Linked DNA regions of Oreochromis niloticus. The protein of the gene in region 2 interacts with the protein of the main gene of each other region in a pairwise test. Links are inferred from orthologs where the notes say so. Each region holds a gene or a part of one and is shown on either strand. Other genes may lie near its edges.

Region 1 (15,820 bases), on a different chromosome or scaffold from region 2:
CACTATGATCATTTCTTCTAATTTAAAGATCCCAACATTGATTAAATGGTCACCTACTCATAAATAACAAATATTAAACAGTATGTTAATATTGTTATATTGGTTTTACTGTATTTATTAAACAGCTTTAACAAATACAATGTTTAACAAATTGTAGCAATTGTACAATTTTTTACAAATTTAACTATATTTGTAAGCAACCCGAAACAGTAAATTCTGCTTGGTTTTATATTCCCAGACATTATCTTTCATAAATCTTTTATAGTTTCATATATTTCCACCTTCTCCTATAAACCCAACAGATGAATGCTTAACGACATTGTAATTATTCACAATTGTTGTTGTCAATTATTTTAACAATGCAACCTTAATAGCTTACTCTAAAGATTTGCACATTCTGCATTTAATAACAACTTCTGTGAATCCAACTGAATAAAGCTTTTTTTAATGTTAAACATAGACAGGTTAAATATATATAAAATGAGAATGGCTGATTGCATTTTTAGTCACCTTAAAATTTCAGGTTCAAGGGACGCCATGTCTTCTGAAAACAGGTACGGAGGGTTACTGACCAAAGTTGTAACTGGCCTAATGAGTCTGAGTAGAGTTTCTGCATCTGATAAAAACAAACAAACAAAAAAATCTTTTTATCAGCAGAGGGATTAGCTTTGTTATTTAGAAAAAAACATGCAAAACTTTCACTGACCCTTCATGACATCGATGTGATGAATCTCTAATCTATCCTCAAGTCCCAATCTGCAGACGAAAATCCTTTTTCAGATTTTATGAAATCTTTATAATAACGTAATGTAATCTTTATAATAACGTAATGTAATCTTTATAATAAAAATAAATCAGTGCTAAAGGACATTTACAACATAGTTTTCATGGGTTATGCTGCAATTACCTTAGTGCGTTCTCTCTTGTTAAATCCACGGCATCCTGGCTCTGATCCAGGGCGACGCCTTTAAGCTGGAAAACAAAACACAAGAGCTAACTTTACGCAGACGTTTTCTCTGTTTTCCTGTATTTGTATGCACGGGAAAATTTGGACATTTTTACTACTTTACAATCTGCTAACAGAGGAGAGTCTAAAATATGCAAACACAGTATAACTGGAGTGCATGTTTGATCAGCTGAGGTGAGAAGATGTACATGTGATGTGAGGATAGCAGCTTATCAACTGGAAATCTATAACTAATGATTTATCATATCGGTTATCCTATTGATTTTTTTTTTCACTGTTAATCGATGTGGCTCGGCTACAGGGGAGGGGGGAGCAGGGGCTTCAGGGTGTTGTGTCAGGGGAGGTTGACCCACACAGCTGTTCTCCATCACCGGGTCATGCCTTCCCTATTTCAGGAGGACCGGACGAGAGAGCGGTGTGTGCTGCGCAGAGCGACGCAGCTGGAAAGCTGCACCTTAACTCTGTAAATAAAAAAGACACTTAACAAACTGTAACGCTGTGGTTGTCCGGTCCTTCACTGTTATAATCTATTAATAGTAAATAAATAAATTCATTAAAAAATGAAACTTGACATACGGTCATCACAAGCCTCGAAAAAACACTCAATTAGCTCAGCCTAAAGAATCCACTGTCAAATATTCTTTAGAATAACTCAATGACACATAAAAAGCTGCAGCCTTTGTATCTATGCTCACTGTTAGGTTAAGGCAAGAGTAACAATCATCTATTTAGACTTAAGCTGACAATAGTAGTGAGCAACACTTTCCAATGGCTATGGATCGAAAAGCTCAAACAGCAGTTTGAGTGTATAATAAGGCCATGACATTCACCCCTGTCAGTACCTGACCGAGGTGAGCATGGTGTTCCATTCCTCCAGAGGAATTTATTCAACTTAGAGAATTAATGCCAGGATTGAAACTGTTCTCATAACACATGACTGCCCACCAACTTACATTGTTGTTTTTCATAATTTGTAATTTTTCTCGAACTGATGCATCATGTTCAGCATCTAAACAAGCTGACATTTGCTTGTTATATGGGATTAGTTTTGAAAATGCTTGGTGCTACAGGAAATGTCACAACTTCCTGAAGAGAACATGAACGTCTGTACACAACGTTACTGATTGCAAAGAGGATCCTGATCAAAATCACAGATGTTCAAAACACAACCTCATCTGACAGATGTTAATGAGGAACAAAAAAAATATGGGTCTTGAGATTTTGCAGACATGACCACTAACTGCCAGACATTCAGTTGTTAGCTTATTTGGACTGTCATGGTGACAGTGTAGGATCAAGCGAATAAGGCCCCGGTCACACAGGCTTAAAGACCTGTCAGTGACCATCTGGCAACCTCCGGGTCATGGAGGAATAATGAGTTTACCCTGACCGATTGCAAGTGGTTGCTGAAGGCTGATGGCAGTCGCTGGGAAAATAATTGTTAAAGCTGCAGCCACACATGCCTAAAGACCGGACTCTGACCCCCTGACAACCACCTGTTGCTAGGGAAAAACATGTATTCTCTGACTGGTTGTCACAAAACTCATTGTGATCGCTTTGTGTTACAGCATGTTGCTGTGATCATAGTTTGAATGGTAGTGACAGACCTGTCTATAAACTAGTGCGAATAATTCAATGCTTCATTTAACGCTTGGCTCTGAAGCATGTGTTAAACGATGTAAACGCAAGTGTTTCCCCCTCATTTGCGACTAAAAACAGTCCTACAATAGATATATTTCATCACAGCATCCCTAAAAATAACTATAATAATAGTAGTAATGATAATACATTTTAATATTATTTTCTGGCATTGTCTTCTAACGCTATATTTTGCTAACTCCTCTAAAACTGCCCAGCGTTGTTGGTGTCATGATGTCACAGTGCGCTCACACAGAGGCGTTACTGCCTCAGCAGGGCAGTTTGTCATTAAAGGACTAAATAAGTCTGTCGTTGCTGCAGCAGAAAGAAGATGGAGAGGCAATTTCATAACACAAATGAGTGATGCAGATTTAAAACACACTTTAACTGAAATATAGCAAAAGTGCAAACTGTTCTGATAATGCAGGGGCGATGTTGTGACTTAGAAAGTGTCCGCTTATTTTTATTTGTTCTCTAAATAGCGTCAAAAACGTTAGCTAATGTAGCCTAAATCACTCAAGATTATTAGCTAATTTTAGCTTTCTGAGCCATTAGTCTGCTGGTATATCGCTAGCTGCCAGCAAAAGGGGCTGATGTAGTTTATTATTTTAGTTTGTTATAGATGTCTATTCCTGTTCTGCGCTTCATTGTTTGTCTACACTACAGCTCCAGATCCAACTGAGAGCAAGTCAAAAGGAAGTCTATGTCCCGTAGCAGCCCGTATTCAGTCTGAATATTGTTATAAACATGGATCAGTTTATGCCTTTTATTGCTTTGCAAACTCTGTTTCACTGTTACATTCAACTTTTGGGTGACAGCACAAAGTCTCAGAGAGGAGCATTGAGAGGGAGAGAAAGGGAGAAAAAGAGAGAGAGAATAAATAAACAGGCAAGAGTGGACATGTATATTTTAAAGGGAGTGGAGCTTCTGTTTTGCCCATTTTCTTTGATGACGATTTTTCCTCCTACTGTCGAGGATGGTTCTTTCCGGGTACTCTGGTTTTCTCCCACAATATAAACACATGCAGTTAGTGGGGTTAGGTTAATTGGTGATTCTAAACTGCTCATAGGTGTGAATGTGAGTGGGAATGGTTAGTGTTGCCAGTGTTAGTCCTGTGACAGTCTGGCAACCTGTCCAGGGTGTATCCCACCTCTCGCCCTATGGCAGCTGGAATAGACTCCAGCCTCCCCGTGATCCTGACAAGGATAAGTAGGGGAAAATGGATGGATGCATGGATAATTTTACATTTGTGTGCTTTCCAGTAGCACACTTAGAAATGTCAGTGGACGTTCTAAAGAACATATTTATTGATATCAATAGTAGTGTTGGACAGGATTCACTATATTAATGTGACAAACTATAAATCTATTCTCCACTCTTGAATTTGCAATAAGTTTTACACAGTCAAAATCAGAAAGCCTCCAGAAGTTGTATTACAATATGCAGATGAACTGTTAACTTAGTCTGATACCAGACTGGTTCAATTATACAGCGTGCTGAAGGCTGACGGCATTTGATACCTGCAATAATATCACATACTTTGCTAATTAAATTGCAAAAATATTTAAAAAAAATAAAAATGAAAGCTTTTTTCACAAGCCAATAAAAATGCACACGGGCCATTAAACTCTGATCCACTGACCTGAGGGTTGTTAGGTGGAACACTGAATTATAATTAATATTAATTATTAAAATCGACACTATCATAACGTCTGGATTTAGCAGCACAAAAACTTGCCTCCTTTTAATGTCAGAAAGCTTTCCAAGAAAACAGAGTAAAGGTACATTTTTATGCCTTAGTCTAGACTTCATATATGTCTTATTTTATTTCATTTGAAAATATAATTTAAATTTTACGCCTGAAGGGCAACAACGGCAATCTCTAAAGCAACCACAGCAATAACTTGGCGCTTCCATGCAACCAATTTCACCCAGTGAGGGTAGAAATCTCCAGGAAGAACTGAGAACCAGTTGGGGGAATACACATTTTTCCCTAGCAACCAGTGGTTATATCACAACCAATGAGAAACCTCAATACACTGCATAAATTTCACTGGAGTAATGAAAAATTTGACTCATTGTCAGTGTATTAAGACCCAAAGTGAGGGGGAATTCATTAATAAGTTAAACAGCCTTTTTCCTGTGGTGTGCCTTATTGGAATTCCACTCATCTGAAAACTTATAACACAAATTTCTACCTGAGGCAGTGTCTTCAGCAGGCTAAGAGAAATGGCACCAGACCCACATCCCACTTCCAGGCACGTAGGCTCCATCTTATCAGGCACGCCCATCTCAGTCTTCATCTGCAGATCATTGAGCACCAGCTCGACCAACTCCTGCATCAGCAAAGACGAAATAAAAATCACATTTTGGCTTATGTGTGATCATTCGCTGGGTCTTCACTGTGAACATGCGCTGCCTCGACTTTTCTTCTACCTCCGTTTCAGGTCGTGGTATGAACACAGGAGGCCTCATCTTCAGCGTCAGGTCCCTGAAGTCCCACTCTTCAATCACGTACTGCACGGGCATCCTAACCCACACATGAAACCATGTAAAAATTTTCATTGAAAATCATTTAAATGCATATAGAGAGATCTATGCACAAACTCACCTGGAGAGACGTCTGGTGCAGAGCTTCCATATCTGCTCTGTTTGTTCTCGGCTGAGAAACTCTGTTAATCTCTCCTGCTCAAGACTTTCTATCTGGATAAAGAAACGCTATGTGAACTTGATCCACGTTTACTGCATGTCAGTGCAAGTGCTGAGGCAATGTAGATTCAGCAAATTACAGTTTTAGCTCCGAGAAGATGAGCAATGATGTACTGGCTGGACAGCTCAGGCTCCGTCACAGCTCTCTCCTCAAAGTGCCTCTTCCATAAGTTCACCGCCTGAAGTGGTGTAATCCTGCCTGCGGGTAAGGCTGGAGCGCTGCATGTACGGACAGCATGGGACCTCCAAAGTACCTAAAAGCATTACACTTAGGATTTATTTTTATAGCGAGCATTATTGCCTTTATTTTGATAGTGAAGCAGTGAGGAGTAGAAAGGAAAGAAGGGAGAAAGGACGAGGGAAGGCACGCAGTAAAGGGCTGAGGGTTGAACTCAAACCCAGGCTGCTGAGTTCCGAACCATATGGCACATGTTCACCAGCTCAACCAGGGAGCCAAACTGGCACCCGTTACATTAAAGTTTAAATAAAATTTCCAAGTATCCAGAAACCAACTGCGTTTTTTTAACACTGATGTTAGACTCCCATTCAGCATCTCCTCTGGGGAATTTCCGGCAACTTTGGAAATCATCATGATTTATTTACACCACTCACAATTACTCATAACATGTGTCTGACTGACAAGTCATAATTAATTTTCACTTCCTCCCTATAACCGCGGGGTTAATAGGGAATCTGTAAGTCAAGTTAACTTACATTACTACATCTCCACACAGTTTAATGTAATCCAGTAAGAGAGAACTGTTATTATTAGTTACTGTATGTATATGGACAATAATCCTTTTATTTATTTATTTGAGTTATTTAAGCTTATATAGTATTTATTTAGTATAGGGTATAAGATATGTGTCATGATAGATAGATAGATAGATAGATAGATAGATACTTTACTGATCATCACTTTACTGATCCTGCAGGGGAAATTACTATGTGATAGCAGGAGCATAAAGAACTATAACCTACAATAAAATTGCTTGAAAGTACCACAGGCTCATAATAAAGGCCTTATAATGTGAAGTAGTGCAAAATTTTATATGCAACAGTGATTTAAAAAAAAATGAAGCAAAAGAAAGACAAATAAATACAAAATAAGGCTGGGATTGTGCAAACAATAAATTATACTAGCATATAATAGTGCAAACGGCTTCAATAAATAGCAAGTACAATTTCAAATCCAGCAGACAGCAAGCAGCAGGAAGGTTTGATACTGATAAGTCTGAGGAATGCAGACAGGTGTGTTCACCTGTCAACAAGCAGGAGAGCTTTTGTAAAGCTTTATCGAGAACAGCAGGAATGTTTTCCTGAAGTTTCCTAAAGGCTTGAGTCAGTCTGAGCTCTGCTGCCTCTGTAATGTGTGTGCCTGCCACTTTATTTTATTAAAAAGAAGATAACAGAAAACAGATTTGGTCCAGTTGCGTCAATGGAAATCAACTGATAAACAGTTCAAGAAAGTCATGTAACTTGGTCTGTGCTTACAGGTGCGTCAGTTTGTAATGTGAGTAATATTTCCAGTTAGCAAGGCAACGGAAACAGGTTTGGACTGTTGGTTGGTTTTTAAAGCCGTGACACTGACATGCTTTTGTTTGTTCAACACGTTGGACGCAACGTGTCGACTTCCGGGAAAAAAAGTCAAAAAAATAACTTGACCAGTTACCTTTGGTCCACCACTCCTGCACCCAAAACATCTGTAGTAGCTTGTACTCAGCGACCTTGTCCACATGGTTAACAGTATTAAGTCTTTACATCGTTATTCATTGGGTTTCCGGAGTCTGTGCGCTCTCGGGCTGAACTCGCTGCATGGCGGCAGTAGTCGGTTAGATCAACATGCTACACTTTACGGCCCTGTATGAAATTCAAACATTTTTCTGTGTCGGAAAGCTAACTAGCGGGGCTCGAAATGTGTCCTGCACGCGGCACAGAGAGCGGCTGCGGCGCAGTCTGCGCAGCGCTGACGCTACTGAACGACGTTGCTTTCACGGACTGTAAAACATATAAAGCATTGCCGTCATAGACGTTAAGTCTGTAAAGTAAGATGGTAAAATAGCATCTATAAATGTAAAAGTCATTAGCAAGTAATAAAAGTAGTATTACATTTGGTAAATACTACTATTCGAAACCTTTAAATTGTCTAAAAGAGAAAATTTCCTTAGTGTTGTGCAATTGTTCGGGGCCCAATACTTTAAAGCGTTTTTATACGACAACAGAGTTCGTGTTACTTTTATATTAATTTTAAAACATTATTGGTGCTACATACATACGACTTCCTCTGTCTTATTGTTGCCTTTACAGTTTTTGCAACGGCAGTTTTTATTCCAGGGCTAAGTTACTGGGTGTCCCTGAACGCGATATTATTGTTGTTCTTCCCTGTCTGGTTTTTGCATGCATTGATGTGTCGAGTTATTGAATAGTTTGATGCCTGGGTGACCATAACCTCTGCTTAATACATTAATAACAGATTTTATAGGGCGTCTTTTAACTTTAGACCTGCTTTTAAGTACCGAAGGACGTCGCTAGCTTGTTTTTAAACGTTAAAGCTACATGCTAGCTCATGCTGCTGTAAATAAACTGGGAAGACCCAGAGGAAACACACAGGAGATACCTTGTTAACGCAATTTGGGGCAAGTTGATAGGGCTCAGCAGGGTTTACACACCTCTGGATTAGTTCTCCATGAGGATAAAATCTATGATGGGCATGCCCACTCGAATAGAGTGTATATTTTTCAGTGAGTTTCACCCTACTCTGGGACCCAAGATAACATATCAGGTAAGTGTGCAGATGGTCTGGTAAAGTAGTTTTATTTTATTTTATTTTTTTTATATATCCACTGTCGTTATGATTGTCTTTATAACTGCCCCAGTTGCGAGCTTGTTCGTGCCCTGGGTGTGTTTTAAACGTGTGAGGCAGGTATTTAATCCTTCATAGTAATTTGGCATTGACGTGTACTCTGCATAATCCGTCTGAGCTCATGTATCTTATTGGGTATAGTTTGTCATACTGTGTCCTAACAGGTTCCAGAAGAGTACATCTCACGGGAGCTCTTTGACACCGTTCAGGTTTATATCATCACCAAGCCAGAGCTACAAAACAAATTAATAACAGTGTATGTAGTCTTATCCTGCTCGTCTGTCTCCCTGCCTTGTTTGAAGTCCTTAGTATTTAAATAATAGTGTATTAACTTAATAAACCAATCTCTCTTTTTTTAATCATAGCACTGCAATGGGAAAAAAGTTAATTGGCTGCCCCGTGTGCATCGAACATAAGAAATATAGCCGAAATGCCCTCCTGTTTAACCTCGGCCTTGTTTGCGATGCCCAGACCAATACTTGCGGCCTGGAGCCTATTGTTAAGAAGCTATCTGGGTACCTTACAACTCTGGAGGTAAAGAGTATCATATTTTCACATGTTCATGTGATCGCTTTCTTCAGGATGATTTCTTAGAGATTTTCTGTCTTGTTGTGTTGCAGCTGGAGAGCGGCTTTATATCCAATGAGGAGAGCAAACAGAAGCTTTTACCCATTATGTCGACTTTGTTAGAGGATCTTAATGCCACAGGAGCCTGCAGCCTACCCATTGGTATTATTTGGCATCTTACTGGCTATAAGTTTTATCTGTGGCAAGGAGCAGTATATCTTTTTAATATATAGCTGTGGTCACACGTTTACACACATTCATCATGGGCATGAATGTCATGGTAATTTTGGACTGTTTCGTTGAACTGTTCTTTTTTCCGGGGTGGAATTATTTTAAATCTTTAATGACTTAAAAAAAACAAGAATTAGAATTTATTTTGGATTTTCTCTAATCCACACAGGGTCAGAAGTATACATACAGACTCAAATATACACATTCACTTAAATCTTTTAATAAGTGGTGCTGAAGTTTCTACAATGTCTTTTAACTCTCCGAGACTAACTTCTTGTTAGTGATCATGATTTACACGTTTTACATGATTTTCCTGGTACTTTCTCTTTTCCAGCATAAAAACGCTTGTTTGACATCACCCATTAGATTGGCTAATACTCAGAACAATGGGTATAGGAAGGGAAATTATAGATTTCCCTTCCACAAGTTTGACTGCAGATTCCAAGATAATCTGTTTAAACAACTACATGTAAGTACAATGTATTCTGATGTGTCAACACTCTGCTGAAGTCTGGAAGATTGTCAACATCACATGAGAGGAAATTGGTTAGGATTTTCAGGAACAGCCCAGGAACCACCAAGGCTCAAAGCAGCCATAAATAGGTGCCGACCAAGAAAGAAACCCCTGCTCCATAGTTGACAGCTGCCCACACAGATAAGCCAAATGCCTTCTGGAGAAAGGTTTTATCGACAGATGAGACCAAGACTGAGCTACAGTACTGTAAAAAAGTACTTGCTCCCTTCCTGATTTGTCACATTTACATGTTTTAGATCATAAAATAAATTTTAATTGTAGACAAAGACTAAAGACCTGAGTAAATACAAAATGTACACAGCGTTTATAACTGAATCCTGTACAGTCTGTGGGTTTCAGGCTGTGGAGGTCCAAAGTTCAAATGTGCTTCGACCTCCTACCGTCTACTTTTATAGCTAGATTAACGCAAATATGATGTTGTGTAATTAAAAATCAGTACATACAGACGCTGCAGAGACTTAAAGCTGTTATCCGGGTAAAGTTGATTACTCCATCAAATATGTCTTGATGCATGCTCAATCATCCAGGTAAGTAAATCCCAAAAGGTTGATTCTGTTCATCTGGATGTAGCGTTTTCAATGGAAGAAATGTTTCGTCATTCATCCAAGTGACTTCTTCAGTCTCAGCTGACCGCAGGTCTTTGATCAATGGGCTTTGATCAGTGGTTGTTGATCAATGGGCAATTTGCATATTAATGATCAAGGAACTGACCTCAAGCCCATTGTTCATTCAGTGGGCTGGTTTCAGTTATTGTGCAAATGTACTGTTTATAAGGTTGGGGAAACCTGCAGTCAGCTGAGACTGAAGAAGTCACTTAGATGAGTGACGAAACGTTTTTCCCATTAAAAACGCTACATCCAGATGAACAGAATCAACCTTTTGGTACTCCATCAAATACATATTAATATTAGACAATAACTAGAGTAAATACAACATGCATTTTTTAAGTACATTAAGGATGCCTGCTGTATGTCCATTCCACCCTAGAAAAAGAAAAGCTCAGAGAAATCTTTAAAAGCCCAAAACTGTAATAATGTCCATGTACTTAGTAATACTGTGGCATGTGCTCTGTTACTGTGCTGCAGATCATACTGAAAGGATCATAAACTATAGAGCTGCAGCTGCTCTACTAGACAAATCATGTCATTACAGCATTTCTAAATGAACTCAAGCATCTAGAATAGAATAGGATAGAATAGAATAGCCCATTATGTTCATTATACATGTACAACTAAATTGTGAGTCATCCACACCAACTGTGCCGGAATAGAATAGAAATAGTAAGACAGTAGGAATAAATAACAAGCAGGAGAAATATATACAGGACAAGATAAAAGCTGATGAGGCTTACTCAGGCCATGGCTCAGATTGGTTGGTTGGTTGGTGGGTGGGAGGGCAGGGGTGGGGTTGTGTTTGTCAACAGTCCGAATGACCCAGGGGAAGAAACTGTTTGTCTGGAGGTGGGGGACCTGATTTACTGGAGGTTCCGACCAGAGGGCAGCGGGTCAAACAGGGGTGGCGGGACACAAAGGGTCACCTGTGATGGCCCTTGTTTTCCTGAGACAAGAGGATCTCCAGGAGTGGCAGAGAGCAGCCACTTATTTTGGGGGCAGTATTAATTACCTTCTGCATAGCCTTCCTGGTTTTAGTAGTTGCCCCTGCGTGGCAGACATCCAGGCAGTAGGACAGCACACACTTTCCACTGAGGAGAGCTTTGTTATGCATTATGTTCCCTAACAACAAGTTTTCCAATATCTCTGATAAGCCCTTATCAGCCAACCAACATGCTGCCTGGGCTATGGTCCAAAGTGAAATTATGTGGTTGTTTGGATTGATTAGTTAATGTAAGTCAAGACAAAGCAGTGCCACTATGCAAGCAGCTTTGCTCTGACTGTTACTCTTTTTAGAAATTCAGAGATGGGAAATGCAGGCTGATGTTTCTGAGTCAAATTTTATTTTAAGAATTTACCAGCTGCACATAGGCAGTATTCACATGTTGGTTGGCAGCAACAGATGTCATCAAACGATTTTTTTTTAAACCGCTCTTACTCTTGTTTGTTGTATCCTTTTTAAGATGAGTCTAACACCATTCATCTAAAGCTGATCCAGCTGCGAAAAGACCCCCCAATAGTTCAGGAGTACGACGTGCCAGTCTTTACCCAGTGCAAAGATCATTTTATCAAGTCTCAGTGGGATCTCACCACTCAACAGGTAGGCTTTCAATGTCAACAACCTCTGGCTGCAGCTCTTGAGAGGTATTTGATAGCACTCTAAGAAGTGCTTGGAAGAAAGATCAGTGTTTAAACACTTGTTATCAGCTGTGCTGGAAGTGATATAAGCACGTTTTTATATCCTTTGTTTTATGATTTGAAAGAAGGCATTAGTGCAAGACAAGATGCTCTTTATTGGTACAATACTGTTTTATTGCTTTTATAAGTTAACATGTTTACAGCATTTAGTTAACCAGTAATGCAAATAGCACTACGTGCCTCTAACCCTTATCTATTTGCTGCTAACTGCAGATTCTTCCCTACATCGATGGATTTAGACACATCCAGAAAATTTCTGCTGAAGCAGACGTTGAGCTGAATCTTGTTCGTATCGCAGTGCAGAATCTCCTGTAAGTATTTTTCAGCAAATACAGTTGTACTCTTCAGTAACCTCACACACGTACTGCTTCATCACAGAACTCTGTTTTATGTCGTTGTTTTGATTAACTGATAAACCAAGTGTGAACACCTCTGTAAATGCAGAAGTTTTAATAGTTTCCTGCTCTGGACCATTCAGGTGGGTGCTAACACAATCCCACAATCTTCCCAGGACCTCTTGTAGGTTAACATCCCAGCAGATTCACTTCAAGGTCAGGCCGTACAGTACTCAGAGAAACCTTAAACACACACACACACACACACACACACACACACACACACACACACACACACACACACACAAGAGCTCAGTTGGCATGTTAAAGTTCGTGACAGCACAATTAGAAAAAGACTGAAGAAGTATGGCTTGTTTGGAAGGACTGCCAGGAGGTAGCTTCTTCTCTGTAAAAAGAACATGGCGGCACAGTGTAGGTTTGCAAAGTTGGATCTGAACAAACCACAAGACTTCTGAAACAATGTCCTTTAGAAAGATGAGACCAAAAGTGTTGACATTTAACCAGAATGCACAGCGCTGTTTGGCAAAAACCAAACACGGCATATCAGCACAAACACCTCACACCAGCTGTCAAGCACAGTGGTAGAGGGGTGATGTTTTGGACTTTGCAGCCACAGAATCTGGTGACCTTGCAGTCATTGAGTCAACCATGAACTCCTGTGTATCCCAAAATATTCCAGACTCAAATGTGAGGCCATCTGTCCCAAAGCTACTGTAAAGCTTGGCCAAAACTGGGTTATCTGACAGGACAATGATCCAAAGCACAGCAGCAAATCTGCAACAGAATGACTGAAAAATAAAAGAATCAGGATGTTGCAATCACCAGTCAAAGTCCAAACCTGATTGAAGTGCTGTTGTGGGACCTTCAGAGAGCTGTGCATAAATAAATGCCCACAAACCTCAGTGAATGGAAACATTATAACACAATGACGCGAGAGACTGATAAAGTCATAGAGGCAACGATAAGCTGAAGTTATTGCAGCTAAAGGTGGTTTTTCAAGCTACCGAATGAGGGGGTGTACTTGCATTTTCACTCTGTAGTCAAAATACACTTCAAAAAGATGTAATTACTTCTCTTTTTAACTTCACAGGTACTATGGTGTTGTGACTCTGGTGTCAATTTTCCAGGTATTAAACTAATCTCACATCACATCACACATATATGAGTGTAGTGGAACAGTTTATCAGGGACCATTAGGGCCGTCTGCGGGATGTTAGTTTTAATTGAAAAGTTGTAATTTTTTTTCATATTATTCCTTCTTTATTCTGGAAATGTTTTTTTTTTTTTTCTGTTTTTGTGAAAGTGGATCTTTTTGTGCAGAAATAATAACCGTAAAGCAAGCATCAGTTCTGAAGGCCATTCTGATAAATGGGTTCATGTATTTCAAAAGAAAGTCAATTTATATACTGCACATTGCTCTCTATGCGCCACTTTGAATACAAAATGTTAGGGCAGGTTTTTTAAGTGAGGGAAGGCTCTAGTTTTCTGATATTCTGCTGTGAAAAAATTAAAGTTATTTAAAAGTGGCTAATACTTCCTGATGACTTGTTCTGGTTGCCTTCTTGTCTTTCTCTAGTACTCTAATGTGTACTGCACCACCCCAAAAGTCCAGAGCCTCATAGATGACAAGTCCATTCAGGAGGAGTGCCTTAACTACGTCACTAAGCAGGGTTAGTTGGGGTCATGTCCATTAAAACACAAGTGTTAATCTTCATTTATTTTGTGACGTTAACTGTGCAGCTTTGCCCTGTCACTGTCAGGTCAGAAACGCGCGAGTCTAAGAGATGTGTTCCAGCTGTATTGTGGGCTAAGTCCGGGAACAACAGTGCGAGACCTTTGCTCACGCTACTCACAGCAGCTTCAAAGGGTCGACGAGAGGTTAGCGTCGCTCAAATTATCAGTTCCTGAAAAGACTTAGCGCTCCTATGAATTCAGGTCAGAGTGGCACTGGCTCATACTGTATGTGTGTCACGTCACTTGTTTCTCCTCAGGAGGCTGATCCAGTTTGGACTAATGAAGTGTCTTATTCGACGGCTGCAGAAGTATCCCGTGAAGGTGATCCGCGATGAGAGAAGCAGGCCTCCTCGACTCTATACCGGTTGTCATAGTTACGATGAGATCTGCTGCAAAACAGGCAGGGTTTGAAGCCTTCTTTGATTGTTGGACAAAACTTAAGAACTGATGGTGTGAAACAAGTGTGCTTACAATATCCTGATTTTACAGGGATTACTTACCAGGAGCTTGACGAACGTTTGGAAAACGATCCCAATATTGTCGTGTGCTGGAAGTGATGGGGCAGAAGGGTACAGCAGTGCCTAAGCAGCCAAAGATGCCTTGAACAAGAGAAGGAGGTTTCTTCAATTAACTGAGAAAATAATGAGTAGCATTTTGCAGTTTTCTTAGCTTAGTTTTGTTAAAAAAAACAAACTTGAAACATTGGATATCAAACTCATTATGTGGCTATACAATCCATTCATTAAATGGAAAAAAGGCTAAAAATATGTATTTATGTAGGTTTCATACTTCATACATATTTTACTATCTTTATTGCTTTGACTCTACTTATAACCCCAAATTCATCTCATTTTTACTGCACAAATAACATTCCAACATAAAAACAGATTGCACTGCCACATACCCTTTAGCTGATTCTTCCCATTCCTGGAGGGTTGAAGATCCCTTTGCAGTTAGTTAATGCAATATTATTAGCATTATATATATAAAACTGTTGCTATAATTTGTTGGAATGCAAAAAACATAACTGAAACACACTGGCATGTATTTGAATTTGTACTTTAATTTATATGCTGCATTTCTGCTCTAACGGAAGCACTGAGAGCGTTTCTTACTGCAAGATACATCCACCCATTCACACACAGATCAGGGGCAGTTTGGGTTCATTGTTTTACCCAAGGATATTTAAATATGTCGAATGGAAGAATCACTGACCTTCAGATTAGTAGGTGATGAAGCATATTATTTATAACTGCTTACAAAATAGTAAAGACTTTTTAATGTAACTTAGCGGCAGTAAAATTAATCTTGGGAGTGAAGCCCTGGAACAAGCAGGTGTACAGTCTGATGTTATCAGACTGTGAAGAAAATATATGAAATAAAATGCTTTGAAATTACACCCGCCATCAATAAGTTTTTAATAATAATTTCATGTACTTTTATTTAACAGGATGACTTGAATTTCATGTTTGCAAGTACTTTTTACACTACCATATACACTCACCTTAAGAAGCACACCGGTTCAGCTGCTAATAAGATCACACAAATATCTAATTAGCTAATCACGTGGCAGCAACTAATTGCAGACTTGTACTGAGACTTTTGTAGACCTGCCAAAGTTCACAGCAAGCATCAGATTGGGGAAGAAAGGTGACTTAAGTGACTTTGAATGTATCATGGTTGTTGCTGGTCTGAATATTTCAGAAACTGCTGATTTACTGGGATTTTCCTACACAACCATCTCTAGTGTTTACAGGGAATGGTCCCAAAAAAGAGAAAATATTCAGTGAGCGGTACTTCTCTGTGCAGAAAGGCCTTACTAATCCCAGAGGTAAGAAGAAAATGGCCAGACAGCTTTGAGCTGATAAGAGGGCTACAGTAACTCAAATAACCAGTCAGTACAACCAAGGT
Region 2 (16,146 bases):
TTCCTTACTACTTTAACAAATGAAGCACCAAGCCTGCATTTTCAGAGGATGAGGATCAGCTGGAACATGACGCTAAGAGGTTTTTTCACGTCCTTTGTGTAGCTCTGGATTAGTGTAGCGTGTGACCTTTAGCACAACATCATTTCTGATCTCTCCCATCTATCCTGTTATGCCTGTTCCTCTGCTAACGAAGCAGAACAGCTTTGAGTACAGCAGGGACAGAGTGTGAAAAATCCTGTTAGATTGCCTTAATAATACCAAAGCTAAACATAATAAGGGCATGATATAGTGCCGGCTAACATCTTTAGATTAAAGACAGCTTGACAAATGTCGCCCCTGAAAACAACGGAGAGGTGAAGTGCGGCAGAAAAAACAATCAGCCTTGGTACAAGCCGAGTCAGCAGTCTCATCGAGGAGACAAACATGCTTACTCCAGACTTGATCTACACCAATAAGGTTTCTGTTGTTGGTTATTATCACACTCAACTGTCATGAAAAACCAAGAACAGAAACTATGCTGATGCTAGAGATTCAGGGTAAAGGGGTCTCAAACTTATAGCTGAAGTCCTTTGCACGATTTCAGTAGATTTCACTTGAAAAATCCATTATGGCACATGCCCATACTCTCTAAAACTTTTAACAGAACAGAGGATTCTTACCAAATCATGGAAAGAAGCAGTTTTCTGAAGTAAGAGCAAGTACAACAAGTACACATGTAGACTTCATCACCCGCTTCACATGCTATATACATGCAGAACCACTAGATGTCGCGTTGGAGCTCAGCTGCTTCCAGTGGACTGCAGCCCAGCTCATTGCTAAATTCCCCCCCAGGTGTCCTAAGAGCCAAAGGCTGGGCCCATAATTAAGTCCATGTAGTATGTCATTTATCGGAAGCCTGTTTTAGTTAAGTGCTATCCCATCAGCTGCATGAAGAACACCACTACAACTAGAGCAACCTATATCCAACACTCACATTGTAGCATACACTGACTTTGACTAGATTGACTAGATTTTCTGCTGCTATATTAACATTCAAAATCTCACTTGCATAAACTTTAACTTTTAAAGAAGCAAAGGTTTATCCAGATAAAGGGATTGAGAAACATCACCACAAAATACTGCAAGTGAAAAATGCAATAAAATTGACAACTTTGGTCCAAGTGTGACAGTCTTGTTGAGCTGACCGTGGAAAACATGTTAGAGAAGAGAAACTATTTTTGCATTTGAAGACTAGTTCAATGAGGATAAGAACTTGAGCAAAGCCTCGTGTCTATCTAGTAGATCTATTAATGTTTTTTCACTGCAACATCACACAGATAAAAAGCGGATTTCAAAATATGAGACGTGCTAGAATGTGCTGGCTGATAATTAGGACATGTGCTCTCACCTCAGAGGTGCAGGTGACTCTGCGTGGGTGAGGTGCCTCCTGCTGGAGCTGATACACTGTGACAGAAAACAGGCCATGTTATAAAATCATGAAACAATCATTGAAAACAAAGAGGACAAAATATTTAGGAATGTTTGAAAAAAACAAAAAACAAAAGGTATATTGATACTTACAGTAGGATTTCCACACTGGTGGCCTGTATTCATCATGATCTGAGGACACAGAAAGCTCTCATTTAATTCCTTTGAAGCAGCACCCCCATGTGGAGAAAACATGACAGTGACGCAACAGCTGTCTAAATTTTAATTTTAATCCATTAAACATACGACTGCATCAGAATGCGGATATATTGATCAATTCATCATCTCTTTGACATTAGACCAGCATAAAGAAAGGGGAAGCCTAACGTACAGACAAAAATAAAATGTTTTACAATCACATCAGGGAAGAGCATTACGATTTTAGGGCACTCACATGAATTTCAAAGCTAAGCCTTGAAACTGCTGAAGCAAACAAGCCAAACAAACACAGAAATCTACACTCCAACACTGACAGCATGACTGCTTTATTTTCTAGTCTGTATGCAATTACCTTGGGACATCAGATTGATGGATTAAGTCTTTTTCCACAGCAGAAACCACACAGAGCATAAATGGTGACTAAGTGGCTTAATGAATAAATCTACTCCGTGGAGCATAAAATGCTGTGAAAGATTCATTTATGCCGTGGTTGCTTTTAAATGAGCTGTGCAGTGTTTATCTTTGTTACACTCACACTAGCTTTTACTGTCAGCCCCCCTCCCTTCCTCAGGCCGACCCGTGTGAAATTAATTGTAAATGGATATCAACATTGTGGCAGCGTTCCCCTGTAGTTTTATTCGGTTGTAACAGACCATAAACAACACTGACAGTAGTATTAGCGAATGTGATTAAAACCGAAACACTTTTGGCCCCAGGCGCTGGTTTGGAGTCTGGGTGAACTCTTGAGGAGCTGCTGAGCATTTCTACTCAAAGACACCCATTGTGGCGCCTGTAAAATCCCAAGGTACACATTTAAATTCTGCACTTTACATCTATTGCATGTGTTGTTGCTGCAATGACCTCAATTCCCAACAGAAATGAGATTTAACACTTCCACTTGTACTGGGACAAAGTGAGTCTTGTTACATAAGCATGACAAAGGCGTCATCAGTCACTACGACATGCTGTTTGTTTGTTCCTTTAAGTGCCGTAAAGCAGCGGTCCCCAACCCCCGGGCCTCGGACCGGTACCGGTCCGTGAGTCGTTTGGTACCGGGCCGCGAGAGTTGAGGCTCAGGTGTGAAATGTATGGTTTTCAGGGTTTTTATCGGTTTTCAACGTTATTTTGTTATCGTTTTTATCGTTAACTCGGTTTTCCTGGGTCTTTTCACGTGTGTTATGAATAAATCTTCTTTTTTTCGGTACCGGCACTAGTTTTATTTTGTTGTATTCATCCGCGACACCTCATTGCCGGTCCGTGAAAATATTGTCGGGCATAAACCGGTCCGTGGCGCAAAAAAGGTTGGGGACCGCTGCCGTAAAGCATAAAACAGGTTTTTAGAGAAGAATCAGTCACGTAGTCGCAATGAATGATGTCTTGCTTTTTGATACTTCATTATACTGCAGTTTCTATTTGCTTTGTTTATATCTTATTCTGCTCTGAGTTTGGCATTTTGTGCGTATTCACAGCACTGAGCAAAAGTTTTGAGTTACTCCTCATCTTTTCATCTGGTTCTCCAGGATTTCTGAAGCTTTTTCAAAGTTTTCCTTTGGACACTGGCTGCTTCTTCACTCATTTTCAGTCCTGTCCTTGTGTCTGGCTTGAGTTAGCCTATAAAAACATCCTCACATACACCAAGGCGAACAAAGAGATGCAGGAAGAAGAAAATCTTACGAACCTACACTTTCTACAAATAAATATTTTATAAGGTTATTTACAGTAGCAGAATGCCTATATGCATACATGTAAATGTAACTATACATTTACACACAAGCACAAAAACATACAGACAACTCAAAAGCAAGACAAACAAAATAAGCATAGTAATTTTCAACTGAGCTACTGGCCATTGTATACAAATCATTAAAGATACAGCTCATCTGACTCATGCTGTGAAATGTGAGATGTGATTTATAAATTGTCATTTTCACAGTGCTATCTAAATCTTGCTTTTGATGATTCCATAGTTAGTAATGCTTAACTTAGTTAGCTTTGTTTCAAAGCACTCAGAGAAAAGTAGTTTTCTCATTTGCTCAGCAAAACTGTCTTATATCAAAGAACTTCTGCAGTATAGCAGGTAATATTCCACATACTGCTTTGAACAGTCAATCAGATTTTATGTACAAAAAGAGTGGAAACAAACATATAAAAAATATAGTATGTGAAAATAATTAAGAAATCCTACACTGAACATCTGAAAAACTAAATTAAAATACTTAAAGTGGACCCCTATTTTGTGTCACATATATACAGTTACAGCTGCTACAGAGTTTAAATTATGAGGTCAGTATGTGCACAGTAATCCCTGTGAGCCAAAGACTCAGGCTTTGGACTGCTCTGAACACAGTGTTTGAGTTTTTCGGCTGATGTGTGATGTCAGCGAGAGGAGATACCTGCTGTTTTTGAACAAAGCCAATCAGCAGAAAGTGGAGAGTTTTAGATAGCTGTTCAGGGCCTGTGTGAAGGCAAATTATAAGATAAATAAAGCTTATTTTAAACAGTAGACCATGCAAAGCTACTTTAGTGAATCCAAGACCAGAAATATAAAACTGGAAATCAGCACAAAAGGTCCTCTTTAACCCAGGTCTCGAAAATATATTTTTGTCAGCATCTGGCAAATTCAGAAATGTATTCCGTCTTCTTTGCATGGGTAAAACTAACAGTCCGCTTCCTGTCCTTGTGTACAGAGGCCACTCTACAAGCCTTATCTATTCAACACTTGTCGTCTCGGTATCCTGTCTTCAAAATAACTCCAAATCCTCCCCGGGCAATCGTCTCACCCTCCATTTCTTGAGGCAACACAGGCTCAAAGATACACAAACTAACAAGAACCCAGACAAAACACACAGACTGTTCACACTCCCAGCATCTGCAACAACAAATGGGTACTTTTCCTTTTTCATTACACACGTATGAAACACTTGGCCCTTTGCTACACTCAGAAAATAAGGGTTACAGTAAATTGTCTCATATATTTACATTAAAAAAGCAAACTTTAAAATACAATGGGTTGCTAAAGATTAAAGGCTTATGACCTCTTAACAAAGTCACATTTCAAATACGGGGCTGTTAGCAGAGTGTGTGATGTCCTGAAAGGAACGAAAAATAAAATAAAATAAAGTGAAACCACTGATGGCTATGATATTATATATCATATCATTAAAATACTATCAATATGTAGAGCTAGCTACAACACTGAGAGCTTGGCTGTTTATTACAGCTAACAGGGGCACATCAGCAATAATGATAAAATATATATATATATATTGCAGTTATAAATATATATATAAAACCACTGAACAATGACTTTTACTTTTGAAGGAAATTTTACTTATAATGGGAATACATATCTACACTGATGCATTGCTATTTTGCTAAGTACAGGATCTGTATTAACAAACCATTGTTCTTACAGGTGCAGCAGGTGGCGACCCATTGCGCTTTTCTTCTTGTGTCCTGTCCTTTTATTATATCTTCTCCTATTTTCTCCCCCTTTCTTTTTTTTTTGCTGCCTGTCAGATTTGACATATTTATATTGCATATATTCTGTGAGTCATAATAAAAATGAATAAATAAAAAGAAAAAAAGAAAACGAGAAAGACGAACATGAGAAGCCTATAGAGAATTTACAGAGCTTGTCTTGGAAAAGCAAAATATATTTTGCACAACAATGCATTCAGATCATACTTTTGATTGCAAAAGCTGGTAGACAGTACAGCTTGTTAAAAAAAAGTAAACAAACAAACAAACAAAAAAACCATAATTAAAAACAAAGTGTCCTGGAGTCCATGAGAGACGCTATAAAGAATTATAACTACAAACTGAGCCACTTTTGGCTATGATATCATTAATATACTATCTATATTTAGAGCTAGCCTTCACATCTAGACTGTTTATTACCGGTACCAGGAGCACATCAGCAATAATGCAATACTAGTTTTCCTTATTTAAAGGATCTGGATTTTTCTTCATTAAATCATGTCTACTATTTGAAACTTCTGTGAATACGACGACTGGCCTCTTTTCATTTTTAAACAACAGTTTTAAACAATAGATTGGAAGTTAATCATAAACAAATTAACACACCACTCATAAATCCATAAGACATTCCGGTGACAATCGTGTACTGTGAGATGCTGCTTACCAAAGACATTTAGAGCCATCTTGATTCTAAGATAATAATGATGATGAACAATTAGGCAGCAGATCCAAATTTCCACCCTCTCAGTTTAAATCCTGAAAGAGAAGAGGACACAAGCGGAACAAGGTGAGAGAGTGCAGCCGCAGCTGGAGGTGAGCTACCAGGGTCAGAGTAAAACCAGCTGAGTAATCAGCCACAATAACTGATAACCACGATATATAAGAAAGCTAACGTTAGCGGATTCACTTTAGTTGGTAGGCTGTCCTGGAGGATAGGGCGGCGCTGGTGGACCCTTTTCTTTTAAAGTTACACTGTGAAGAAAAAGCATTTGCTTCGTAGTAAAATAAAAGTGCAACAAATACGGCTCCCAACAATGTGAGAACATGCGCTGGTTTTAGTAGCCTAAAGGTTAGCCAATAAGACGTGGTACTCACATCCCCATTCTACATTATAGACGCCATCTTGCTGGGTCACGTGATCAGTCTCACCCTCTCTCCCTCTCGCTTTCTCTCTCTCTGTGGCTCTCTCGCTCTCTCGTAACTATGGTAACAGACCTTGCTGATGCTGCTTCGTAGCAAAGAAAGACGTGAGGCTGAGGTTTTCTTTTCGCCTCGTAGAATTAGTATTTGCTTTTATCGGTTGTCGTGGAATGCGACAAGTGCAAAAGGTGAAAGAGAAAACCGACCACAAGAATGTCGGTGAGCTTGTTCAACCAGTTTATACAGCTTTCGTGAGCAGTACATATAGTACAAGTATAAAAACATTTGTTCTGCCCGTCAGTGTCGTGGCCGGTTAGCTCAGTTGGTTAGAGCGTGGTGCTAATAACGCCAAGGTCGCGGGTTCGATCCCCGTACGGGCCAGTTCAGTCTTTTTGTTTTTGTTTTTCGAAAAAACCCATTTGATTTTACAGTTTTTTTCTGAATGCTTAAACCCTAACTGTGATTCTTATAGCACAATTTCTAAAACTATTAATACTTATAGCAAAACCACTCACTGAGTTTGCAAAACTAAAAGCACAAACACTGCTTTGCACTCAGTTTGCCATTTTGTAACACACACTTTGCAAAACTGTAGGCACAATTCACTGCACAACACTCTTTTTGCAGAACTGTAAACACAACTCACTGCTTACACTCAATTACCAAATTTCCAACACACTCCTAGCAAAATTATACACATGTATGGCTATCATTAACACTATTTTGCCAACTGTCTGGCACACTTTCACATGTGAAAACTGTTTTAGATAATTAGTCCACTTTGCAATCAGCCTAAGCACTATAAACAGGTAAGCTGTCTATGTGGAGTACAATGGAAGGAGCAGCAAGAGTGAGAAGAGTGAAAATCAGAGGAGGCTGAGGGAGAGGACGTGGAGGTGAAGAAGTTGGAGGAAGAGGACGTGGAGGTGAAGAAGTTGGAGGAAGAGGACGTGGAGGAGCAAGAAGAGGACGAGGAGGGGAAAGAGGAAGGGTAAGAAGAGTAAGAAACAGAATAACTGATGACATCAGAGCTACAATAGTGGACCATGTCATCAACCATGGGATGACCCTGAGGGAAGCTGGCCAACGGGTTCAGCCTAAACTGAGCCGCTACACTGTGGCAGGCATCATTAGGACATTTCGAAATGAGAATCGGTAAGTACTTTGTAGCACTGCCATACTCTAATGAGAAACACAACAGTACCATACATGCAAAAATACTGAAATTGTTACTTTACAGAATTGCTAGACGTCCAGATGTTGGGGGCAGAGGAAGCATGTTCACTCCAGAGCAAGAGACCCATATAGTGAACATGGTGATTGCCAATAATGCAATAAGACTGCGCGAAATACAGCAGCGCATAATTGATAATGACACCATCTTTCAAAATATACACAGTGCAAGCATTTCTGCACTAAGTCGTGTACTTGCGCGCCACAGAATAAGAATGAAGCAAATTTACAGAGTTCCTTTCGAGAGAAACACAGAACGTGTAAAGCAACTGCGATATGACTATGTGCAGGTAAGCTAGTGTCATTGGTTCTGAATTTGGAAGTGCATACTGTAGTGCTGTGCATGGGCCTGATGTGTTGCATTTGTTTTGTCTTGTCCAGAGAGTGATGGAACTAGAAGCAGATGCAATGGGACATGAGCTACTTTTTGTGGATGAGGCCGGTTTTAACCTCAGTAAAACCAGGAGACGTGGCAGGAACATTATTGGACACCGTGCCATCATCAATGTCCCAGGACAACGTGGTGGTAACATAACCATGTGTGCAGCTATAAGCCAAAATGGTGTTGTTCACCATCATGCAACCATAGGCCCATACAACACTGCACACATTATTGCATTCCTGGACACCTTGCATGACATGCTCACTGTTCAGAGACCAGAGCAGACCCGATATGTCATCATATGGGACAATGTTAGTTTCCATAGGGCTGCTTTGGTCCGCAACTGGTTTACAGACCACCCATCCTTCATGGCACTCAACCTCCCTCCATACTCTCCATTCTTAAATCCCATTGAGGAGTTCTTCTCTGCCTGGCGCTGGAAAGTGTACGACCGTCATCCTCATCAACAGGTAGCCCTTTTACAGGCAATGGAGGAGGCATGTGGAGATATTGACCAGGCATCATGTCAGGCCTGGATACGGCATTCAAGGAGATATTTTCCCCGGTGCCTTGGACTGGAGGATATGGCATGCGATGTGGACGAAATTTTGTGGCCGGACCCAGAAAGACGACATGATGTAGGCTGATTGTCTTTTTTTTTTTTCCTTTTTTTTGTGAAATTCCTATTTTGTGTTCTGACTTTGTCTTGGTTTTGATGAGTGTGAATAAACACCAATACTTGAAGTTTGGATCCTTGTATGTTTACATGACACTATGACAAAAGTGTGACCTCAAATTGACATCTGTACTCAGAGAATGCAAAAGCCAGATGTGTTTTGTATTCATACCATCAGTGTGCAGTTGGCGCATTGTGTGCTTAGTAGATGATGGCTTGTGTGTACTGTTTGATACGAAAACACCATTTTTACGAAGGTGTGAAGAGTTAATCTAGCTGTGTTCGCTTTTGCAAGAGAACTACAATGTTTTGATAATTGGGTGACAGGTTTTCTTATTTGTGTGTAGAGTTTTGCAAAAATAGCCAATAGTTACAAAAAATGTGCTTAAGCAATCAGAAAAAACTGTAATTATAACAAATAATTTTTTTCAACCTAATAAAAAAAGGACAAGGAACGTAAACCATCACTATTATGTGAAATGGTAGAAAAAACTCAAAAATTTCGACATTAAGTTGTAAAAAATTCTCAGATTAAAGTGAAAAATTGATACGAAGTTGTCCATTGTGCTGTAGTCCTTACTAGTAGTGGTGTAATTCTGTAATTTCCTCTTTTTATTAAAAATTTTGTACTTTGATCTTGAAGATTTTACCCTTTTCTCATAAATTTGCCACTTTAATGTGTGTGTGTTTTTTTCTTTCCCCCTCCTATTTATTTCCTACCTTCGTTGGCGCTAATATGCCGTTGTATAAACACAAAATACTTAATTACAAGGAATAATTATCTAAAAAAAAATATAATAATAAAGTAAATAAATAATAAGTAATATTAGTAACACTTTCAGGTAAACATCCAAACGTGTTAGCAGCAAAACATAAGAATAAAAATGTAATCACAAACATGCATGTATAAGGGCTACATTACTTTATCTTTATAATGCACTGTAATTTTGTATTATCATCAATATTGATACTAAATTCAAACGTTTTAATCTAAGCAACGTTTACTTTACTCCTATTATATCTATAAAATAGCCATTATTGTTCATAATTCTGATATAGTCTGCTTTCTGGGGCATTATACCTGAATAATTTGAATCTCTACTAAGTTAAATAGGCTGTAAAGTGCTCATTGTGAGAAACAAACCAATGGCCAACACCCTCCTCAGGCCGTGCGATGGCGCTGCTGAGCCGCCCAAGTTGCACTTTCTTTCCCTGACACCACCACCACCAGTGCCGGGGCGCACGGAGCGCTGGAGGCGGTGTGTGTTGCTCTTTATTGTTCCAGTAGAAAGCTCAGTGCGCGGCTTCCCACATTTGTCTGAATGGCTGCCGCGGACAAACCACGTCCCACCTGAGAGGGAGCGGTTCAGCTGCGAGCAAGAGGACCACCGCGTTCAAAACTTACAGCGTGGATTTTACCATCTGCGTTGGACATAAAAAGCTCTCACGGACGCACATTCAGTGGATCCTGGAGGAAGAGGGGGGGGTAAGGAAACCGTGCCATCCGGATTGTGAAGCGAGCTTAAACGCAGTGTTTCTCGTATTCCTCGCACAGTAGGTGCAGATTCAGACAGCTTTACTGCATTATGTAGACCAGTTTCTAGGAATAGGAGTCGTGGCTTTTTTTTAAAATGCAACAGCGCGTTAAGCGCGATGAGTCCGATATCTTAAGTCTAAGCTCGCTTCGATTGCAGCCACCAGTCTGTTCGTTTTCCTAATCGGCTGAGCTTTAGGAGGTCCAGCAGAGCTTCTGTTACTGTAAGCTTAAAGATAGACAAGGATATGCTCCTGTGATTACTGCTACATAAACTTCAAGATTATTATAGTTTTGACACTTTAATCTTGAATATTTTCCACTTTATTAGTAATTCCAGTATTTTGTATTAATAATGCCACACACACATGCACACACCAGCTCAGTCCCTGGACTGTGAGCAGGTTGCCTTGGCCTACTGACATCTTTGCCCTGGGCTAAAGGATTACTCTGCTAACCCACATTGTAGGGCTCTCTCTTTGCCAACTGTACTCTGTGCTGTTGTGTGTGTGCGCCTAACAAAGCTGCTCCTTGATCTTTGGTGTTCTCAGAGACACCCCCCCCCCCCCTTTCACAGTGTGCACCTTTGAGGTGTCACAATCAGCTGGCAAACAAATCCCCTCCCTTTATTGATTTCTGAGAGACACATACTCTTCTTGGATCCCCTCCGTCTTTCAGCGTGAGGTCACAGGGTCAGCACCCATGATCAACAATGGTTGGGTGCTCAGGTGGAAATGCTGCCTATTTGGTTTTGCGATCAGTATGACATGGTTTTGATTGCCACGTGGTGTTGATGTTGCACTCCATTTCTTGCCCACACACACCCACACACTACAAGCTCCCCTGAGGGCAGTAGAGCAGCTTAATGGCTCAGCAGGTGGATGGTGTCACCTTGGTGGAGTCAAGCCCAGCCACTGATCTGTCAAGGAGCGCAGGTGTAGCGGGCTCGCTGTGACATAGCCTTGATCTCACCCTTGCCAATGCTTGTCGGCTTGGGTGTCATTTTTCACTCGACTCATGTAGAATACACAGAGTGAAAATGTACACAACAAACAACACTGTCAGGTAATGGGTCCCCTTTAGTGTTCATTGGCTGAGTGCATGTTTGATTGTATTCAATTGGTGTGGAGCCTTTTGTATTAGTTTTATTGTGTGAGTTTTGGGGGTTGGGGGTGGGGTGGGTGTAAATATATGGGACATAATCTGGAAGCAAGATCCACTTGCTTAGCTGTTTCCACACCTTCCCACCATATGTCGCTACTCAGGATGCCCTCACCAGAGCACACAGGGATTTTTTTCTGCACAAAGCAATGCTCGGTATGCACCCTCTGACTGACCTACTGACTGATAGTTGCGTGCATGTGTAGTCACCAAAAGATGGACATAGCAACATAACATCAGGCACTGCTTTTTAAGCCTCAACAATGTTCCCAATGCTAGTTATTTGGAGCTTTTTGGAACTGAATTAACAGCTAGCTCTAAATAGCTTTGTTATCAAGATGCATCTGTAGATTTTAAGGGCATGTAATACAGACACGATATCTGTTAAGCATCAGATCTAACCAACACTGATGCGCAGACTTCATGAACTGGCGGTAACACACAAAAAGCCATGTCATTTGTCAAATATTTGTCAGTCATTAAAAAAAAAGAGCTCCAGACATGATGGAGAAGTATCAGTGATCAGTGACTCCAGTTTGGTTTCATGGGCACCTGTCACTCTTAACTCTAGTATCCTAGATGGATAACTCATTTTTAACAATATCACCCTTACAGTTTTTGTGAAAGATTTATGTTGCTTGTAATTCTGTAAATTCGATCATTTTAACATTGAAGTTGGAGGTTATTACTTCACCTCTTCTGATCCAAGTAAACCCCTGGTACAGTGGTATGAGAACAGCTAAGTAGGACATAATTCAAAAATATTCACCACTAGAGCTTTAGTCTCAAGTACTTGGAAAGAAGGCAAATAGAGTTCTTTTGGTATGTGAACATGTTTTCATGTTCACATACCAAAGTAAAGAAGCCTCTTGAAAGAAAGACGCTTCTTTAGTTCTATAACAACCTATGGAGAGTCCCTGGTATGTAACCCCTAGTTTTCACATCAAATGGTTCTTTTACTCTGATTCAAATCAGTTGATGAGTTTGCAAACTTGTAGTTTTTCCCTGTGATTTGACTTCTTTTTACACAGAGAAAAATCCAAGTGAACTAAAATGCATCCCTACAAACCAGATGAGAATGTTATTGGCCAGATGTGTCCAGAGAGGGGAGCAACAAAAGTAAATGCAGGAAAAGGGTCCTGTGTTGTGGCCTATTGGAGAACCTGTAGAATTTAAGTTTTCATTTGACTGCTAGTTGCTAGCCTATACATACCTTTGCACTTCTATAGTACCTTACTGCATCCCAGAATGCAAAGCATACGTGGCTATGGGAAATTTTTCTGTAGCTCAAACTTACAACGTATACCTGGTATTTAATTCTGATTGCGGTCTGATCACATTCACACCATAAATGAACCGCTTTGGAATGGGTTACAGTCTAAATAAGAATTTTGGAGATTTTAGCTATGTTCCAATAACCTTGGAAGTTGGAAGTCTAGAATGACTTCACTCCCTAGCTAGTGTGTTCCAATAGTAAAGTCAGAAAAGCAAGAAAATCAGGATTTGTTTTTGTTTTTAGCATTGTAGAGCCATTCATGTATGACTAGCGATACAGCATATTTGTTTGTTGTAACTTAAAAACACAGCTGTGGCACACGCACGGATAGAGCCTACTCAGTGCTTTGCATATGGCTTGTTTAGCGAGTCATGAATATACAACGGTGGCAGTCCAGATTAAAAATTTTACAGTTTTACTGCTTGTACATTAACTGCTGCCATCTTGTATTGTTCATTCTTGATTGTTGGGGTTGCTTTGACTTTCTGAGTAGGAAATTCAAGTTAAGGGGGCATTCCAGATTAAACTGGGAACTCAGAAATTTTGACTTCCGACTTGATCTGGGACTCAGCATTAGTCCCACCCTACCATCATGTCTGCTATTCAGGTCATATGATTCAAGGTTAGAGTGGGGCTAAATCACCTGTGAAAGGGATCCCAGGACTGCACTGTAGCAGGCTGAATGCTGGTGAGGTGGTGTGCTGCAGACAGTGCTGGCAGTGGGGTTAGAGCCATTTTGCGGCATGTTTGTTAGTGAACAAACTATATGACGACACAAAATTACCCCTAGTAGTTTTTTCCACATCATAAAAAAAAGAGTTCATATCAGCAGGGCTTGGCAAAGTCCTTCTATGAGCAAGTCTGGTACGTGGGCATCTTATTAACGCCTCTGGGCCATTATTTTGGCGGTTACTTTGAAGCACTATCTAAATGAGCTTTCATTTAAGTTACCACAGAACATCAAAACTACTTGTGTAGTTTTGTTTGCTGACATTATCCCCCAACTAAGGTTTTAAAAATCCTTTTTTATGGATCTTTGAGGGCCATATCGCTCTCTTGCTATCTCTGGTATTGGACATATGTGTTATATGCCACTAGCAGGATATCTGTAATATCCTGATATATCTGTGATAGGATAAAGTAACTGAGGCGAGAGATTATGTGCTATTTAATCTTTTAAATTTGTGTGGGCAGTACTTACATTAATATTTTCAGGTTTGGGACTGTTTGTCAAACAAAGACATTTAACGATTTCCACAGACATCTCAAGGAATGTGTAACAGTTTTTTTTCCGGCATATTCTAAATTTTTATAAATGACATTATGATAAAATGATTGTGTTATGACTATGCTGATCCAACCTTATGAGGTGAGGCAAGTGGGTCCTTGACAAAAACACAATTTTTCTGACTATTTGTAAATGTTTGTATTATTCAGAGTTTTTCTGAGAATATTACCCCAGCTCTACCGTGTTACTTTCTCTCTACAGTGGCCTTGACACAGTGCTGTTTAATTACGGAAACTGATGGAAATATGACTGCAAAGTTCCCTTCATTAGCCTAGCAGTGCAGCTGTGAAACCCATTATGTCACACAGTATGCCCATCACATCCCTTTAAGTTAGTTTCATCTTGTGGCCACTGATCCTTTTTCACAGCACAGTTTCTGCTGCTCCTTTTCTTATTTGAAGAGTTTCAGTCAGGTTTCAGAGCTCATCACAGCACAGAAACAGCTTTAGTGAAGGTTACAAATGATCTTCTTATGGCCTCTGACAGTGGACTCATCTCTGTGCTTGTCCTGCTAGACCTTAGTGCTGCGTTTGATACTGTTGATCATAATATCCTATTAGAGCGATTAGAACATGCTGTAGGTGTTACAGGTACTGCACTGCAGTGGTTTGTATCATATCTATCTAATAGACTCCAATTTGTACATGTAAATGGAGAGTCCTCTTCACACACTAAGATCAATTATGGTGTTCCACAGGGTTCGGTGCTAGGACCAATTCTGTTTACATTATACATGCTTCCCCTAGGCAGCATCATTAGAAGACATAGCATAAATTTTCACTGCTATGCAGATGACACGCAGCTCTATCTATCCATGAAGCCAGATAACACACATCAATTAGTTAACCTGCAGGAATGTCTTAAAGACATAAAGAGCTGGATGGCCGCTAACTTTCTGCTTCTTAATTCAGATAAAACTGAGGTTATTGTACTCGGCCCTGAAAATCTTAGAAATATGGTATCTAAGCAGATTCTTACTCTGGATGGCATTACCTTGGCCTCCAGTAACGCTGTGAGGAACCTTAGAGTCATTTTTGACCAGGACATGTCCTTCAGCGCACATATTATACAAATATGTAAGACTGCTTTCTTCCATTTGCGCAACATCTCTAAAATTAGAAATATCCTGTCTCAGAGTGACGCTGAAAAACTAGTTCATGCATTTATTACTTCCAGGCTGGACTACTGTGATTCTTTATTATCAGGATGTCCTAAAAACTCGCTGAAAAGTCTTCAGCTAATCCAAAATGCTGCAGCAAGAGCCCTGACAGGGACTAGAAAGAGAGATCATATTTCTCCTGTTTTGGCTTCCCTTCATTGGCTTCCTGTTAAATCCAGAATTGAATTCAAAATCTTGCTCCTCACATACAAGGTCTTAAATAATCAGGCCCCATCTTATCTTAATGACCTTGTAGTACCATATCACCCTATTAGAGCACTTCGCCCTCGCTCTGCAGGCCTACTTGCTGTTCCTACAGTATTTAAAAGTAGAATGGGAGGGAGAGCCTTCAGTTTTCAGGCCCCTCTTCTGTGGAACTAGCTTCCAGTTTGGATTCGGGAGACAGACACTATCTCTACTTTCAAGATTAGGCTTAAAACTTTCCTTTTTGGTAAAGCATATAGTTAGGGCTGGACCAGGTGACCCTGAATCCTCCCTTAGTTATGCTGCAATAGACGTAGGCTGCCGGGGATTCCCATGATGCATTGAGTTTTTCCTTTCCAGTCACCTTTCTCACTCACTATGTGTTAATAGACCTCTCTGCATCGAATCATATCTGTTATTAATCTCTGTCTCTCTTCCACAGCATGTCTTTCATCCTGTTTTCCTTCTCTCACCCCAACCAGTCGCAGCAGATGGCCCCGCCCCTCCCTGAGCCTGGTTCTGCTGGAGGTTTCTTCCTGTTAAAAGGGAGTTTTTCCTTCCCACTGTCGCCAAAGTGCTTGCTCATAGGGGGTCATATGATGGGTTTTTCTCTGTATTTATTATTGTACAATCTACTATACAATATAAAGCGCCTTGAGGCGACTTTTGTTGTGATTTGGCGCTATATAAATAAAATTGAATTGAATTTTCTCAATAATTTAGCTTTTTTTTTTTTTTTAAACCAGCACACTCATCAGTCTGTGCACAGACTTCCAGCTTCTTGCATCTTATTTGGCGTTGAAATTTTAACCAAACTGCTGATTGCCAGACCTGTTTCACAGCCGACTGACATTTCCCATTGTGCAAGCTTACACAGATTATGTAATGTCAGACTTCTCACTTAAAAAATGACAAAGCATTATCTCATTTTTTTTTTTAACAGATTAGGGTCAGAGTTGGTAATCCTTTGTATGAAAACGATCAGAT

Evidence for each region.
Region 1: the proteins of N-chimaerin (region 2) and hemk1 interact in binary tests that used the Homo sapiens proteins (3 or more experiments, as listed by UniProt). The two-hybrid records come from large-scale screens. The link is inferred for Oreochromis niloticus from reciprocal best matches to the Homo sapiens genes CHN1 and HEMK1.

Annotation. Positions count from the first base shown.
Region 1 is NC_031970.2:17,677,730-17,693,549, reverse strand, and holds the start of hemk1 (MTRF1L release factor glutamine methyltransferase), read right to left. Parts: upstream 7,259-15,820; 5' UTR 7,053-7,258; coding exon 6,987-7,052; intron 6,811-6,986; exon of another isoform or gene 6,624-6,810; intron 5,569-6,623; coding exon 5,395-5,568; intron 5,309-5,394; coding exon 5,217-5,308; intron 5,136-5,216; coding exon 5,042-5,135; intron 4,942-5,041; coding exon 4,804-4,941; intron 973-4,803; coding exon 908-972; intron 757-907; coding exon 707-756; intron 617-706; coding exon 511-616; intron 1-510. Other genes in the region: GATOR1 complex protein NPRL2, read left to right, coding at 8,001-8,096, 8,342-8,433, 8,543-8,711, 8,798-8,906, 11,585-11,721, 12,033-12,130, 13,266-13,302, 13,752-13,845 and 3 more. UniProt on the Homo sapiens protein: N5-glutamine methyltransferase responsible for the methylation of the glutamine residue in the universally conserved GGQ motif of the mitochondrial translation release factors MTRF1, MTRF1L, MRPL58/ICT1 and MTRFR.
Region 2 is NC_031986.2:15,942,362-15,958,507, reverse strand, and holds the start of N-chimaerin, read right to left. Parts: upstream 6,460-16,146; 5' UTR 6,202-6,459; intron 6,192-6,201; exon of another isoform or gene 6,000-6,191; intron 5,863-5,999; 5' UTR 5,790-5,862; coding exon 5,771-5,789; intron 1,600-5,770; coding exon 1,561-1,599; intron 1,444-1,560; coding exon 1,388-1,443; intron 1-1,387. Other genes in the region: uncharacterized protein LOC109196774, read left to right, coding at 7,310-7,401, 7,487-7,769, 7,861-8,508. UniProt on the Homo sapiens protein: GTPase-activating protein for p21-rac and a phorbol ester receptor. Involved in the assembly of neuronal locomotor circuits as a direct effector of EPHA4 in axon guidance.